Linked DNA regions of Sus scrofa. The protein of the gene in region 1 interacts with the protein of each later gene in a pairwise test. Links are inferred from orthologs where the notes say so. Each region holds a gene or a part of one and is shown on either strand. Other genes may lie near its edges.

Region 1 (7,874 bases):
TTCAAGGCTGGGGCAAGAAAAGTACACTTCAGTCTTAAACACTGCTGTGTCAGAAAGTAAAGAACTGCTCAAAGAAAGAGGGGAAATATCAAAAGGAGAGAGCAAACAGTTTAAAGGGGCTTGCATTGGTCAAATTTGGGTCAATTTGAAAATCTAAATAATAATGCTGATAATGCAGTAGGATTCAATCACAATAAATTGAATATAAGAATCCATGAGTCTAGAACAGTACTTTGAGGTAGGAGAAGATGGGAAAGTTTTTCCTTTACAACAAAATGCTAATTAATATCACCAATGGAAAAACACTGATAATCACATCTTCTGAAACATTATTTTGAGAATAACACGACAGTTCCAACAGGCATTGCTGGACATAATTACAGTAGTCCAAAAATTTAAAAGTTTGAGAAGGAAGAGCCAGACAAGTAAGAAGTAAAACAGGAGAGTTTGTTTTCATAAAATCAGAAATCAAAGAATAAAAATGTTTCAAGAGAGGAGTAATATACAATGTAAAATGCTATTGGGAGGTCAAATAATATAAACAGGAATTATTTCTTGCCAAGTTTGTGTAACTAAATATTTTATGTTTTGTGTTGTAAGTAAAAGAAGAATGTTTTTAAAGAATATTTTCTATGGAGTTCCTGTCATGGCTCAGCGATTAATGAACCCAACTAGAATCCATGAGGACGCAGGTTCGATCCCTGGCCTCACTAAGTGGGTTAAGGATCCTGTGTTGCCTTGAGCTATGGTGTAGATCATAGACGTGGCTCAAATCCCACATTGCTGTGGCTCTGGCATAGACCACTGGCTTCAGCTCCAATTGGACCCCTAGCTTGGGAACCTCCATATGCCACAGGAGTGGCCCTAAAAAACAAACAAACAAACAAAAAAGAATATTTTCTAAAGGTTACTAAAATATTTTCTAAATAGAATTTAAGGAGGCTACTAATTTTTTCCTGTTGAAATGTTTCATTTTTCCTCCAAGGCAATACAAGTTCATTATAAAAAATGAATTATAAAGTAAACACCAGTTAAGAGAACATAAAACCTCACAATTCTTCTACCCAGGGACCAACTACTATCGACATCTTAGTGTTTATACTACCATGAATATGTACACTTTTTTCCCAGGCTAGGGATCAAATCTGAGCTGCAGCTGCTGCCCACAGCCACAGCAACTCAGGATCCAAGCCACATCTGTGACCTACACCACAGTTCTCGGCAACACCGGATCCTTAACCCATTGAGCGAGGCCAGGGACCTAACCTGTGTCCTCATGTATACTGGTTGGGTTCGTTTCTGCTGCGCCACAACAGGAACTCTTGCAATATTATTTTTAAGGCTAAATAGGAATACACTGTATGGATGTGCCAGTTTTATTTAACCAATCCCTTTCTGTTTATTATTTGGCTTTCCTCTTTTTGCCATTACAAAGCCTCAATGAACATCATTATAGCTATATGTCTGAACATGCTTAATTAGAAATTATTTCCTCAGGGAGTTCCTGCTGTGGCTCAGCACAAACACACCGACTAGTATCCATGAGGATGTGGGTTCCATTCCTGACCTTGCTCGGCAGGTTAACGATCCAGCATTTTGCTGTGATCTGTGGTGTAGGTCTCAAATGTGGCTTGGATCTGGCATTGCTCTGGCTGTGGCATAGGCCAGCAGCTGCAGTTCTGATTCAACCCCTAGCTTGAGAACTTCCATTTGCCGCACCTGCGGCCCTATTAAAAAAGAAAGAAAGAAAGAAAAAAGAAGTAATTAGTTCCTCAGGAAAAATTCCTAGAAGCAGAATTGCTAGTTCAAGACACTTCATATTTTTCAGGCTTTTGCTGTGTAATTGTTAAAATGCCTACTAGAAAGATTTTATTAATTTACATTCTCACCAATAGGATGAACAGACCCATCCAGCAGTCTCGCCAACACAAAGTGTTATACAATTTTTAAAATCCTAGAACTGTTTTAATTTTATAAGTGCTCTTTTCAAATAATAATTACAGTTTTCCGGTTGATTTTCTCATATCTGGCAATTTTTTCCTCTTTTTTTTTTTTTTAGGGCCACACCTGCAGCAACCAGGCTAGGGGATGAATCGGAGCTGTAGCTGTCAGCCTATGCCACAGCCAGAGCAATGCTAGATCCAAGCTGTGTCTGCAACCTATACCACAGCTTGTACCAACATGAGATCCTTAACCCACTGAGCAAGGCCAGGGATCAAACCTGCCTCCTCATGGATACTAGCTGGATTCTTAACCCAATGGACCACAATGGGAACGCCGTATCTGGCAATTTTTAAGTTAACTATTACTGAAAAGACATAGCAAAAATTTATAAAAGAATGTCTTTCATGGAGTTCCTGTCATGGCTGAGCAAAACGAATCTGACTAGCATCCATGAGGATGCAGGTTCGATCCCTGGCCCTGTTCAGTGGGTTAAGGATCCGGCGTTGCCGTGAGCTGTGGTGTAGGTTGTAGATGTGGCTCAGACCCTTTGTTGCTGTGGCTGTGGTGTAAGGCCAGCGACTATAGCTCCAATTCGACCCCTAGTCTGGGAACCTCCATATGCTGCAGGTGCAGCCTTAAAAAGACTAAAATAAATAAATAAATAAAAAAGAGTATCTTTAATAAATTGCTCAGACTAAGAAAGAAAACTGCAGCATAAAATAAGTTTATGTTTGCTTTTAGTAACAATAAAGAAGTATACCTGCTACCATCATGGGCCACATCTACTAAAAAAGGAGGAAAGGGTAGTTCTTATAAATGATAAGAAAATTTAAATGTATACTATAGTAAATAGAAGGACAATGAGGAATCAGTTTATTCCGCTAGAAAATAACAGATGTACATGGGTAGGAAACAAGAGCATCCTATGTTTATCCTATTCCTGAAAATGTTTGTGACTGTGTACTTACCACAAAGGTCTGCGTTCTTGTCCAAATTCTGCTTCATAGTAGCCATCTCTGCAGTCTTTTCCTACTAAATCATGAGGATGTGGTTTATATGGGTCATTCTTTGTTACTAATGTAATTCTCACTTTTCCTTTTCCAAAATAGTTCTTAATCTGAAAAGGAGGGAAATCAGATATATGATCCATACATACATCTCATTAAGAACTGATCTACTAAATGAGGGTTCAATTTATATACATTAGTTAGCATTGGATAAATAAAAGTCCAAATGATTATCAAGTGCAGTTTGGAAGAAACTTTGCAGAGAATACCAGTAGAGAAGAATTTACCACTCAGTTTCTTGGCATATTATTCTGTGTCCTAATTTTAATCGGTCATATCACCTCATTCTGCTTATTTTCCTTCTTTTGGGGGAGGGGTCTTTTTTAGGCCTGCATCCATGGCACATGAAGTTCCCAGGCTAGGGGGTCACATCATAGCCATGGCCGCTGGCCTACACCATAGCCACAGCAATGCCAGTCTGAGTCGTGTCTGCGACCTACACCACAGCTCAGGGCAATGCCGGATCCTCAACCCACTGAGCGAGGCCAGGGATTGAACCCGCAACCTCATGGTTCCTAGTCAGATTCGTTTCTGCTGCGTCACAACAGGAACTCCACTAGTCAGGTTCTTTATCTGCTGAGCCGCAATAGGAACTCCCTTATTTTCCTTTTATTTTTTTAAATTAATTATTTATTTATTTATTTTGTCTTTTTGCTATTTTTCGGGCCACTCCCGCGGCATATGGAGGTTCCGAGGCTAGGGGTCTCATCGAAGCTGTAGCCGCCGGCCTATGCCAGAGCCACAGCAATGCGGGATCTGAGCTGTGTCTGCAACCTACACCACAGCTCACGGCAACGCCGGATCGTTAACCCACTGAGCAAGGGTAGGGATCGAACCCACAACCTCATGGTTCCTAGTCGGATTCATTAACCACTGCGCCACGACGGGAACTCCATTTTCCTTTTAAAACAAGTAAAATTATACCAAAATATTATCATGGAGCATGAGGAAATACTAAGATGTTGAGTCACTGAATGCAATGCTCTTATATTCACTGTCATACCATAAACATCCCTTGAATGTATATATTTAAGCCACAATGGAACACATTTAAGCCACCATTATGGTCAAGTATGGTTGTTACTTAATACATGACATTTCATTTCACAAAAATATCTTTTTTTTTTTTTAAATCAGAAAGTGTATCCCAAGTATTCACTGTACCATAGGCAACAAATTAGGCTGTTTTGCAAAATTAAGTTTTCACATAGTAAGTAGATCTATGACACTGAGAATGAAGAGTTAAACATGGGAGAGGAAGGAGGACTCTACACAATGTAGGGAGGAGTTTATCTTTATTCTGGAAGATGGAAAATTTGCAAGCACAAAGCAAGGAATATAAAAACCAGCAAACAAGGGAGCGAGGCAGCTGGGTAAGAATGGGTGGCTTCATAGATAAGTGGGCATTAAAATCTATAATTCTGAATTTAAACCTAATTTGAACAGTAATCAGAAAGTATTTATTGCCTTTCTGAATAAAAGACAAGGTAACGACTTAAAAGTGTAAGGTAGGCTCAAGTGGAACTCAAGCTGCAAAGTTGTTTAGAAACTACTGGAATGGTAAGGATAAAGATCTTAGAAATGGTTAAGAGAATGTACAGAATAAGCTGAATTATGGAGAAGAGTTAAAAATCACTCTTAAAGGAGTAGAAGATTAGCTTTTTTTTTTTTTTTTTTCCTAGAGCCACACATGAGGCATATGGAAGTTTCCAGGCTAGGGGTCTAATGAAATGTAGTATATAAACATAAAATATAAATGTAGTATTTCTATAAATATAGTACATTAACAAAGTCATTTTGGATCAAAAACTACTTTCAAAATTTATGTTAATATGAAAAAACTATATTTAAAAAGTGACAATATTTCAAATCAGTCAATGCAATCCAAAGTATCAGGGATAGGCAATAAACGTAAAGAGGAAAAAAGGCAAAAATGCTCTTTTTTCCATAGCCCCTAGATTAGCCAAGTGATTGCAGGAAGAATTCCGAATTTCCAAATACAGGTTTTTAATCTCCAGAACAATCTTGCTCACCACTGGAAGGAAAGAATGCTTTTTCCTCATTAGCTTTTTGTTCCATTAAAGGTGTTGTCATCCAAAAGTTGCCGATGTACTCTAAGCACTGGGAATCACTCTACACAGATTAACACTCAATATATAACAATCTGCAGGGATGAAGACTCTATACTTTATTTAAGAAATGTGCCTAGAGATCTATGCAGTATGGATCAATTACAAAGAAAAAAAGGAGGAAAAGCTGGTGACGATCACTGTGATGAAGCTGGGTCTTTAATGTAACTGCTGTAGTGAAAACATGATGCAGCTGACACACACACACACACACACACACACACACACACACACGCAGAGGAGAACGATCTGTTACCTGGATAGACGGGTATGTTCGGCTGCTGTCTGTGCTGTGCTCCCCTGGAATGCTGCCTGCTGATCGCCCTTCACATTTGTATCTAAAACGCATTCCCCTCTGTCTGGGTTGTTCCGTAATCTCTATATATGGGTTATACCCACCTAAAAATTTTAAAAGGGAGGAGGGTGAGATTATGATAGAATTAATAATGGATCTTTAACCATCTTGTTTTTTCCAAAAGAGTAGGCTAAAAATTTTCCCCTCTCAATATTAAATGACAAAGTTGAAATGTAATTATTCAAGACTGGGTGGATAATTTATTTGATTTTCTCTCTCATTCGAGTTCCCATACAGTGTAAACACAAGCCATTCAAATCATATTTACTGCTGAGCACTTTATCGTTTAATATCTCTAACTAATGCCAGTGTGAAGTTCTGCGATAACCACTTCAAATATCCACTTCTCACCTGAGACCAAGCAGAAGGGTTTTCCCCAGAATTTTCCCAGAAGGGTCAAGAAGACAGTCTTCAGAAGTGCAATATTATACTCCAAAAAAGACTTTGCCTGACTTTACATTAGATTTATCTTAACAGTGGACTAAAAGACTGTTCATTGAAAATGAAAATGTGGAGTTCCCATCGTGGCGCAGTGGAAACGAATCCGACTAGGAACCATGAGGGTGCGGGTTCGACCCCTGGCCTTGCTCAGTGGGTTAAGGATCTGGCGTTGCCGTGAGCTGTGGTGTAGGTCGCAGATGCAGCTCGGATCCCGAGTGGCTGTGGTTGTGGTGTAGGCGGGCAGCTACAGCCCTGATTAGACCCCTAGCCTGGGAACCTCCATATGCCGCAGGTGTGGCCCTAAAAAGCAAAACAAAACAAATGAACAAACAAACAAAAAAAAAAAAGAAAATGAAAATGTATTTACTTTCTTACAGAAGGAAATGTTATGTTTTTTATATCTCTATGTAAAGGACTTACACATAGTAAAACAAAACAAGTTCCAGAAGGAACTTTAGGCTCAAAAGAATTTTCAATCAGTCCCATCTAAAGAATAAGACACAACAGAGGAAAATAAAATAATTATTTACTTTCTATAACAAATACAATTCAAAATACGGCACCTTTAGAATGAACTAATGATACACACAACATGGATGAATCTCAAAATAAATATGCTAAATGAAAGAAGCCAGACCAAAAGAGCATATATTGGATGATTCCATTCACGTAAAACTCTAGAATATATAAACTAATCTGTAATGAAGAAAACAGATGACTGGTTGCCTAAGAATAGGGGTCTGGAGTGATGAGGAACTTTGGAGGATGGTGAACGTATTAGTTATCTTGATTGTGGTGATAAGTATGTCAAAAGTTATCAAATTGCATACTTTTTTTTTTTTTTTTCCTTTTTCGGCTACACCTGTGGCATATGGAAGTTCCCAGGCCAGGGATCGAATCTGAGCCACAGCTGTGACCTAAGTACACCATACCACAGCTGCAGCAATATTAGATCCTTAACCCACTGTGCTGGGATGGGGATTGATCCTGCACCATTACAGAGAAAATGCTGGATCTTTAACACGCTGCACCACAGCAGGAAATCCTCAAATTGCATACTTTAAACATATGCAATTTATTTTACATTACTTATATGTCAATAAAGCTGTCTAAAACATATGCACCTTTATCTCCCTTACTATCTAAATCATGGAAATTCCAGTTCAATAAAGACACTCAAGTGTGCTTACAAGTGGGGTACCTAGCAACGTGTCTTTATTTCAGGGCTGTAAAGATGTCTTCCACTAAAACCAAACAAAAAACCCTTCCTTGATCAATTTAGTGATTTCTAAATTCCCACAATTAGATATGCACTTCTTTGACAAAAGGTTTATCCTTTGTTAGGATGCAAGCAAATCTTCAGAAAGGGTAACACAGTGGGTCTTATCAGTGTAGTAAAAGGAATAGGCCTTTTGAGTCCTACCCAGCCACATCTTAACATTGAAGACCCAGGAAGTATTATAGCTCTTAAGATTCCCACACTGTAAAATGGGGATAATAATACAATAGCACCTACCACACAAGGTTGTTGCAAAGATTGAAGATAACAAGTATTAAGTTCTTACCAGCTGCCAGGAATACAATGACTAGTCAATAAATGGTCTACTATTATTTCAGATGCTTTCTTGAAAACAACGATTTATAGTAATGCTATGATTGTATAACAACAGTTATTTTCATGGATTTTATAGAACAATGAAGCAAATAACACAATTATTAGACTACATAGAAGGAATAAAATGTTGTTTATGCTAACAAAATTCTGCATAAAATCACAGGAAGAGCAAAACAGTTAGGAATGCCTACCTACGTCAAAAGGAAAAGAAAAAGTTACTGAAGCAAAAGGGTGGGGAGAAAGGAGGGAAAAAGGAGAAAAACAGACATTCTAGGGCAAGGGAAGAGTGCATCCAAAGGTGTCCTGGCACAGGAGAAGAGAGC
Region 2 (7,228 bases), on another chromosome or scaffold:
AGCTACTTGCTTGAGTGTGTGGAATTTATATTGTGCTCAGTAGGATCTCCCAGAAAATTTACTAACAGAACAGATTTTAGTGAGGTGAACTGGGAGTAGTATTTGTTTAAAAGAAGAAGAGGAGTTCCCATCGTGGCACAGTGGAAACGAATCCGACTAGGAACCATGAGGTTGTGGGTTTGATCCCTGGCCTCGCTCAGTGGGTTAAGGATCCAGCATTGCGGTGAACTGTGGTGTAGGTTGCAGACGTGGCTCGAATCTGGGGTTGCTGTGGCTATGGTGTAGGCTGGCAGCAACAGCTCCGATTAGACCCCCTAGCCTGGAAACCTCCATTGTGCTGTGGATGCCCTAAAAAGACAAAAGACAAAAAAAAAAAGAAGAAGAAGAAGAAAGAAGGGATGGAGTGGGATCATTGTGTCAGATCAGAGGCAGAGCTCAATAATTTGAAAAAGCAGTTTTTTATATATGATCCATTTCCTAAGAGTGAAAATTCTTTTTTTTAAATGATTTTTTATTTTTTCCATTATAGCTGGTTTATAGTGTTCTGTCAATTTTATTTCTTTCTTTTTTTTTTTTTTTCTTTTTGTCCTTTCTAGGGCCGAGACAGCATATGGAGGTTCCAAGGCTAGGGGTCTAATCCGAGCTGTAGCCGCTGGCCTATGCCACAACCACAGCAACTCTGGATCCAAGCCGTGTCTGCAACCTACACCAGAGCTCACTGCAACGCTGGATCGTTAACCCACTGAGCAAGGGCAGGGACCGAACCCAAAACCTCATGATTCTAGTCGGATTTGTTTCCGCTGTGCCATGATGGGAACTATACAACAAAGTGATGCAGTCACACCTACATATACACATTCTTTTTCTCACATTATCCTCCATCAAGCTCCATCATAAGTGACTAGATATAATTCCCAGTGCTATACAGCAGGATCTCATTGCTGATCCATTCCAAAGGCAATAGTTTGCATCTATGAATCCCAGATTCCCAGTCCATCCCACTCCTTCCCCCTCCCCTTCCCCCTCAGCAACCACAAGTCTGTTCTCCAAGTCCATGAATTTCTTTTCTGTGGAAAGGTTCATTTGTGCCATATATTAGATTCCGGATATAAGTGATATCATATGGTATTTGTCTTCCTCTTTCTGACCCTAAGAGTAAAAATTCTCATGACCAATAGTAAGGGGTGAATGATAGAGATTATGGTATATCCATAGGACAAAACATCTGCAGTCATAAAAATTTGCATTTTAGAAAGACATTTAATGACAAAATTACATAAGCTGTTAAATTTAAATGGCAGGAAATAGGTATAATATAAAAAACATATTGTAGCTAAATACACACACACGCACAACTATGCCTAGAAAAAAGACTGGAAGGAATCAGGGTGATTATTTTATATGTTCCTTCCCCTTCCCCACTCCTGCCCCAGTTTCCTACAATGAACAGGTATTAAATAACTATGTTCCTGTAGTAATTCTCTAATAGAACTGAATTTGAAGATATCATCCCTGTGCTGCTTTACCTCTAGGTTCTTTGACATTTGCAGATCTTCCTGAGACTATCATGGTCACATCTAAAGCAGTTCCTAAAATTAAGTATATATGGGCATTGAAAGCAGGGAAGGAAAGAGGGAATGGAATGTATTAACCTTTAAAATGGCTGTTTCTTATAACTAAGAAAACATCGTGTAATGAGAAAAATAAGTTGACATAAAAGCCATGTAAGCTTCATTCCCTTGTACATGTGCTAATTCTGCATCAAGTCTGCTTTTTTGATCAGGCTTCTAGACTGTTAACACTTAGAGGATGTACAGGCTGTGTCTTACATTATATATTGAATTAAAGAATGGATTGCTTACTGTAGTCCAGGCATTGTGCTGAGCATATTGTGGTGAACAATGGATATGTCCCCTAAACATATAGAGCATATAGAATAGAAGGAAAAGATAAGTGAATAAATAAGTTACCAGAGTTCCCATCATGGCTTAGTGGAAATGAATCTGACTAGCATCCATAAGGACGCGGCTTCCATCCCTGGCCTTGCTCAGTGGGTTAAGGATCGGTGTTGCCGTGAGCTATGGTGTAGGTCGCAGATGCGGCTCAGATCTGGCGTGACTGTGGCTGTGGTGTAGGCCAACAGCAACAGCTCCCATTCAACCCCTAGCCTGGGAACCTCCATATGCCGCAGGTGCAGCCCTAAGAAGACAAAAAAAAAAAAAAAGTTACCAAAACTCAATGAGTTTTAGAATGACGGGGAAAGGACAAAGGAGACAGGTCTGGTCTGGTGAACCTCTCAGGACATAATGTATAAGATTGACATAGAGGCTGCTTGTACATACATGTTTAATTGGTAAATGAAAAAGATTCTATAAACTGATTCTTGGGTTCATACATAATTATGGGTTAAAAATACACTAAAAGATCCAAACTGAACTGCCTTTCTAGGCTCATGTGTGAACAAACCTACACCCTTCAGTGAACCGGGGATTCTACAGACTAAGAATAACCCGGAGCCAAACTGAACTTTCAAGGTATCTCTTGAAGTACTGAGCTTGAGCTGAGCAGGCATCTCTAGAACTGGACAAGAGTCAGATCTGCTGGGGAGGAAGAATAAGGGGGAGTGGGATTTATCCAACACTTATTTTTTTTCCGTTTTAGCAGGAAGTCATTATGTGACTAATACGTTTTCAGCAGATTTCCTCTGATTTACCCTGAAGTGTATGTGAGGATGATGTGCACTGCCAAGAAATGTGGAATTAGGTTCCAGCCTCCGGCTATTATCTTAATCTATGAGAATGAAATGAAGGGGAAAAGTCGCCAGCGCATTATGCCAGTCCGAAACTTTTCCAAGTTTTCAGGTACCTTATGTTTTATCTTGACTCCTACCTTAAATATTCCCTGAGTCACTTTATAAGAATGATTTGAGTCTTCTGTAGTGGAGCAGCATGGCTTTCAGAGTTAGACAGACCAAGGTTCAAGTCGTGATGTCGGGGTAGGTGTGTGACCTCCACTAAATTAGTTACTCTTGGTAAACATCAGTTTCCTAATCTGTAAAAGGAAATTGAGAATCCCACCCTTTCAGATCTGCAATGTGGGTTAACTGAGATGGCAATATTCAATAGTATGAATTCCCTTCTCTTCCTCAAAGGTGTTTTTTATTTGTAGTCTTGATATTTTCTTAGTACTTGTACAACTATCTCCAGCTGTACTACTGCTTTTTCTTCTTAGGTGTTTTCTCTAGTTAAAAGTATTGAATGTCTCCTCAAAATGATTTTTTTTTAAATTTTGTACTAAAATATAGTTGACTTACAATATTGTGCCAATTTCTGCTGTGCAGCAAAGTGACTCAGTTATACATATATATACATTCTTTTTTGTATTCTTCTCCATCGTGGTCTATTCCAAGAGACTGGATATAGTTCCCTGCACTATACAATAGGACCTTGTTGTCTTCAAAGTGCGTTTAAGCTATGGAAATAAAAAAATACATCCCTCCTTCCCCCACCACATTCAAAGCTCAGTATAAAGAAATAGTTCTATAAAATAATTCATTCCCCAAAAGCCACTTAGCTACTGGACTGTAATGGCAGGTAATGCTTGCAGTAGTTTGTGATGCCTCAGTAGTTTGTGGTGTTGTATGTGGTATAATGGTTTTTTGTCTCCTTCCTAGATTGCAGCAGAGCTGCTGAACAATTAAAAAATAATCCACGACATAAGGATTACCTGGAACAAGTATCCATGAGGCAGCTAGAGAAGTTATTCAGTTTTTTACGAGGTTACTTGTGGGGACAGAGTTTGGCAGAAACAATGGAGCAAATTCAACGGGAAACAACCATTGATCCTGAGGAAGACCTGAACAAACTAGATGACAAGGAACTTGCCAAAAGGAAGAGCATCATGGATGAACTTTTTGAGAAAAATCAGAAGAAGAAGGACGACCCAAATTTTGTTTATGACATTGAAGTAGAGTTCCCACAGGATGAACAACTACAGTCCTGTGGCTGGGACACAGAGTCAGCTGATGAATTCTGATACCCCACACTAGAAATAATAATAATAATGACAATTGGGTAGCAGAAAATCCATATTTATACAAAGAACATAGATTGGGTTTAGAAAAATCTGTAGAGAACACTATCCCTGTTGGGTTATGTTTTGATTGGCCAAGTTACTCTTCAAAACCAAGATATGCAGAACATCTACTATGTAGGTGCATGTGGAAGATAGAAAAAAAACAGAATATAGGACTCTGCCTTGAAGGAGCTTACAATCTAATTGGAAGTCAAAACCTTGTGAAAAGCTAATTATTGGTACTGGGCAGCAAAAATATTAGATCCAAGTGCTTGGTAAAGGCTAGAGAGGGTCAGAACCTAGATTATTAAAGGGTAGAACAGCCAGGGAAGACTTTGTCCTTTAGGGGTAAGGTGGCACTTTGCCTGGCCATGAAATGGCAGCATTTGGGTAGAAGCTTATATGGGATTCTATAGATTATATAGATTAGAGAAACCGGGAGGGAAAAAAAGGGGGGGAGAAGGGGGATCAGTAAAGAGATAGGAATTAGAACATTTTATTTGAGGAGCAGTAAGGAAATTATAGTTTGATAAGATCAGAGGGCATATATAGTTATCAGGGGATTATCCTGTCTGCATTGCTTCTATATGTGTTTAACTCTGGAGTAGAAGAGTACCCTGCAGAATGCCATGCACTTGCAAGTGGACGTAATTGGATGGACAGCAGGGGAGTTCTTCCCCCTCAGTATCAGGAAATATATGCTAAAGACATCCTGAAACCCTGGACCTTTTCCCATAAATAAGAGGTTTGTTTGTAAAATGGGAAATCTACCTGTAACAAATAAACATAGGTACTGCCAGTTTAGGCCTATTCATGAGTTTGTAACTACAAAGAGAAGATCTTTGTTGAACAAGGTTATATATGTACAAATATGTCTTTCTTCATAATAGAATATTATTTAGGAGTTCCTGTTGTGGCACAGCGGAAACGAATCTGATTAGGAACCATGAGGTTGCAGGTTCGATCCCTGGTCTCACTCAGTGGGTTAAGGATTCGGCGTTGCCATGAGCTGTCATGTAGTTTCCAGACATGGCTCAGATCTGGCGTGGCTGTGGCTGTGTCGTAGGCTGGCGGCTGTAGCTTTGATTAGACCCCTAACCTGGGAACCTCCATATGCTGCAGGTGTGGCCCTAAGAAAAAGAAAAAAAAAATTATTTAATTTGTAGAGATCTTTTCTGCAAGGAAATTACTAGTAAATTGCAGTTTCATTAAAACTGTAAAAGTTATTCATTCTTTCTACCTGTCCATCCCTACTCTCTTTACCATTAAAAGCCTCATTGAAGAAATCATTCTTATAATGATGTCACCAAGGACTTAAGATGGCCATGTCTCAAAGGTATATTTGCCAAAGGAAGCAAAAGAGTTTTTAGAACTGGAAACCCATAACTACACAGTGTTTCACGGTGTAGATATAGATGATAGATTTTAAGAGTTGACCTTAGGTTGTTTTCCCCTTTCACTGTTATAAACAATGCCACAGTAAATAATCTAGTACATTGCCTATTTTCCAGGACTATCAATGATGCCTGGAGGGGACTTGCTGGGTATGTGCATCCTGAAGTTTAATAAGTATTGTTAGATTGTCCTGCAAAGCGTTTCATTCATTCAGTAATGTACTTGCTGAGCCTGTACTGCTATGGAGTCTGGGGATCCAGCAGTATGTACAACAAAGCTTTTGCCTTTACAAGGTGTGCCTTTACAGAGTTTCCTTGTAAGGTCTACTTGGAGCAGAGAGATGACAAACATACATAGAATAACGTCATATGGGAGTTCCCATCGTGGCTCAGTGGTTAACAAATCTGGCTAGGAACCATGAGGTTGTGGGTTCGATCCTTGGCCTTGTTCAGCGGGTTAAGGATCCGGTGTTGCCACGAGCTGTGGTGTAGGTTGCAGACACGGCTTGGATCTGGCATTGCTGTGGCTGTTCCCTAGGCTGGGAACCTCCATATGCCATGGGAACGGCCCTAGAAAAAAAAAAAAAAATAATAACGTCATATGATAAGTGCTTAGAATTAAAAACAGGGTAAACGGAGTTCCCGTCATGGCGCAGTGGTTAACGAATCCAACTAGGAACCATGAGGTTGCGGGTTTGGTCCCTGCCCTTGCTCAGTGGGTTAACGATCCGGCGTTGCCGTGAGCTGTGGTGTAGGTTGTGGATGCGGCTCGGATCCCATGTTGCTGTGGCTCTGGTGTAGGCCAGGGGTGCCAGCTCTGATTGTACCCCTAGCCTTGGAACCTCCATATGCCGAGGGAGCGGCCCAAGGAATAGCAAAAAAGACAAAAAAAAAACCAAAACAAAACAGGGTAAAGGAGAATGGTGGTCTAGGCACCATTGTTTTTGATAGGGCCTTCAGAGAAGGCCTTGCTGAAGACGTGACATTTGAGCAAAGGCCGGAAGGAGGTAAGGAAAACTAAGGTGCATTTCAGAGGTTGTGGAGAAAGGTATGCCCATAGGCCTCCAGAACTGGAATGTGCTTGGTATATTTGAGGAAGATTAAGGAGGCCACTGTGGCTAACACAGATAGATCAAGCAAAAGAAAAATTGTAGGAGAAGAAGTTGGAATGTATTTTACCTCCACGGTACTTACCCTGAAGGTGGTGGCAATTTAAACTATTGGCGTTATGTAAGAGTATCTTTTCCCCACATGTTCATCAACAGAACGTATTATCAAACTGGATCTTTGTCAATTTTATAATCTAATAATGGTATCTCATCATTTTAATATGCATTTCTTTTATGAGAGACTGAGTATCTTTATATATGTATTTTATAAGTCATTTTTTGTGAAATAAAAATCTTATGTTCTCTGCTCATTTTTCTAATGGTCTTTTTTACCTGATTTCTAAAAAGTTGTTTTTTTGTTTTTTTTTTTTTCTTCTTGTTAGGGCCGCACCTGCAACATAGGGAAGTTCCTAGCTTGGATCAGAGCTGCAGCCACCAGCTTAGGCCACAGCCACAGCGATGCCAGATCCAAGCCACATCTTCGACCTACACTACAGCTCCCAGCAACACCGGATCCTTCACCCACTGAGCGAGGCCAGGGATCTAGCCTGCATCCTCTTGGATGTTAGTCAGGTTCATTTCCGCTGACCCACAACAGGAACTCCTGCAAAAATTTCTTTATTAAGGAGAATAGTCCTTTGTCTATGATAA

What was found.
Region 2: the proteins of REL (region 1) and CEP19 interact in binary tests that used the Homo sapiens proteins (3 or more experiments, as listed by UniProt). The two-hybrid records come from large-scale screens. The link is inferred for Sus scrofa from reciprocal best matches to the Homo sapiens genes REL and CEP19.

Annotation. Positions count from the first base shown.
Region 1 is NC_010445.4:80,896,252-80,904,125, forward strand, and holds part of REL (proto-oncogene c-Rel), read right to left. Parts: intron 5,540-7,874; coding exon 5,397-5,539; intron 3,062-5,396; coding exon 2,913-3,061; intron 1-2,912. UniProt on the Homo sapiens protein: Proto-oncogene that may play a role in differentiation and lymphopoiesis.
Region 2 is NC_010455.5:133,421,505-133,428,732, forward strand, and holds the end of CEP19 (centrosomal protein of 19 kDa), read left to right. Parts: intron 1-2,661; exon of another isoform or gene 2,662-2,694; coding exon 2,695-2,861; intron 2,862-3,673; coding exon 3,674-4,035; 3' UTR 4,036-6,890; downstream 6,891-7,228. UniProt on the Homo sapiens protein: Required for ciliation. Recruits the RABL2B GTPase to the ciliary base to initiate ciliation.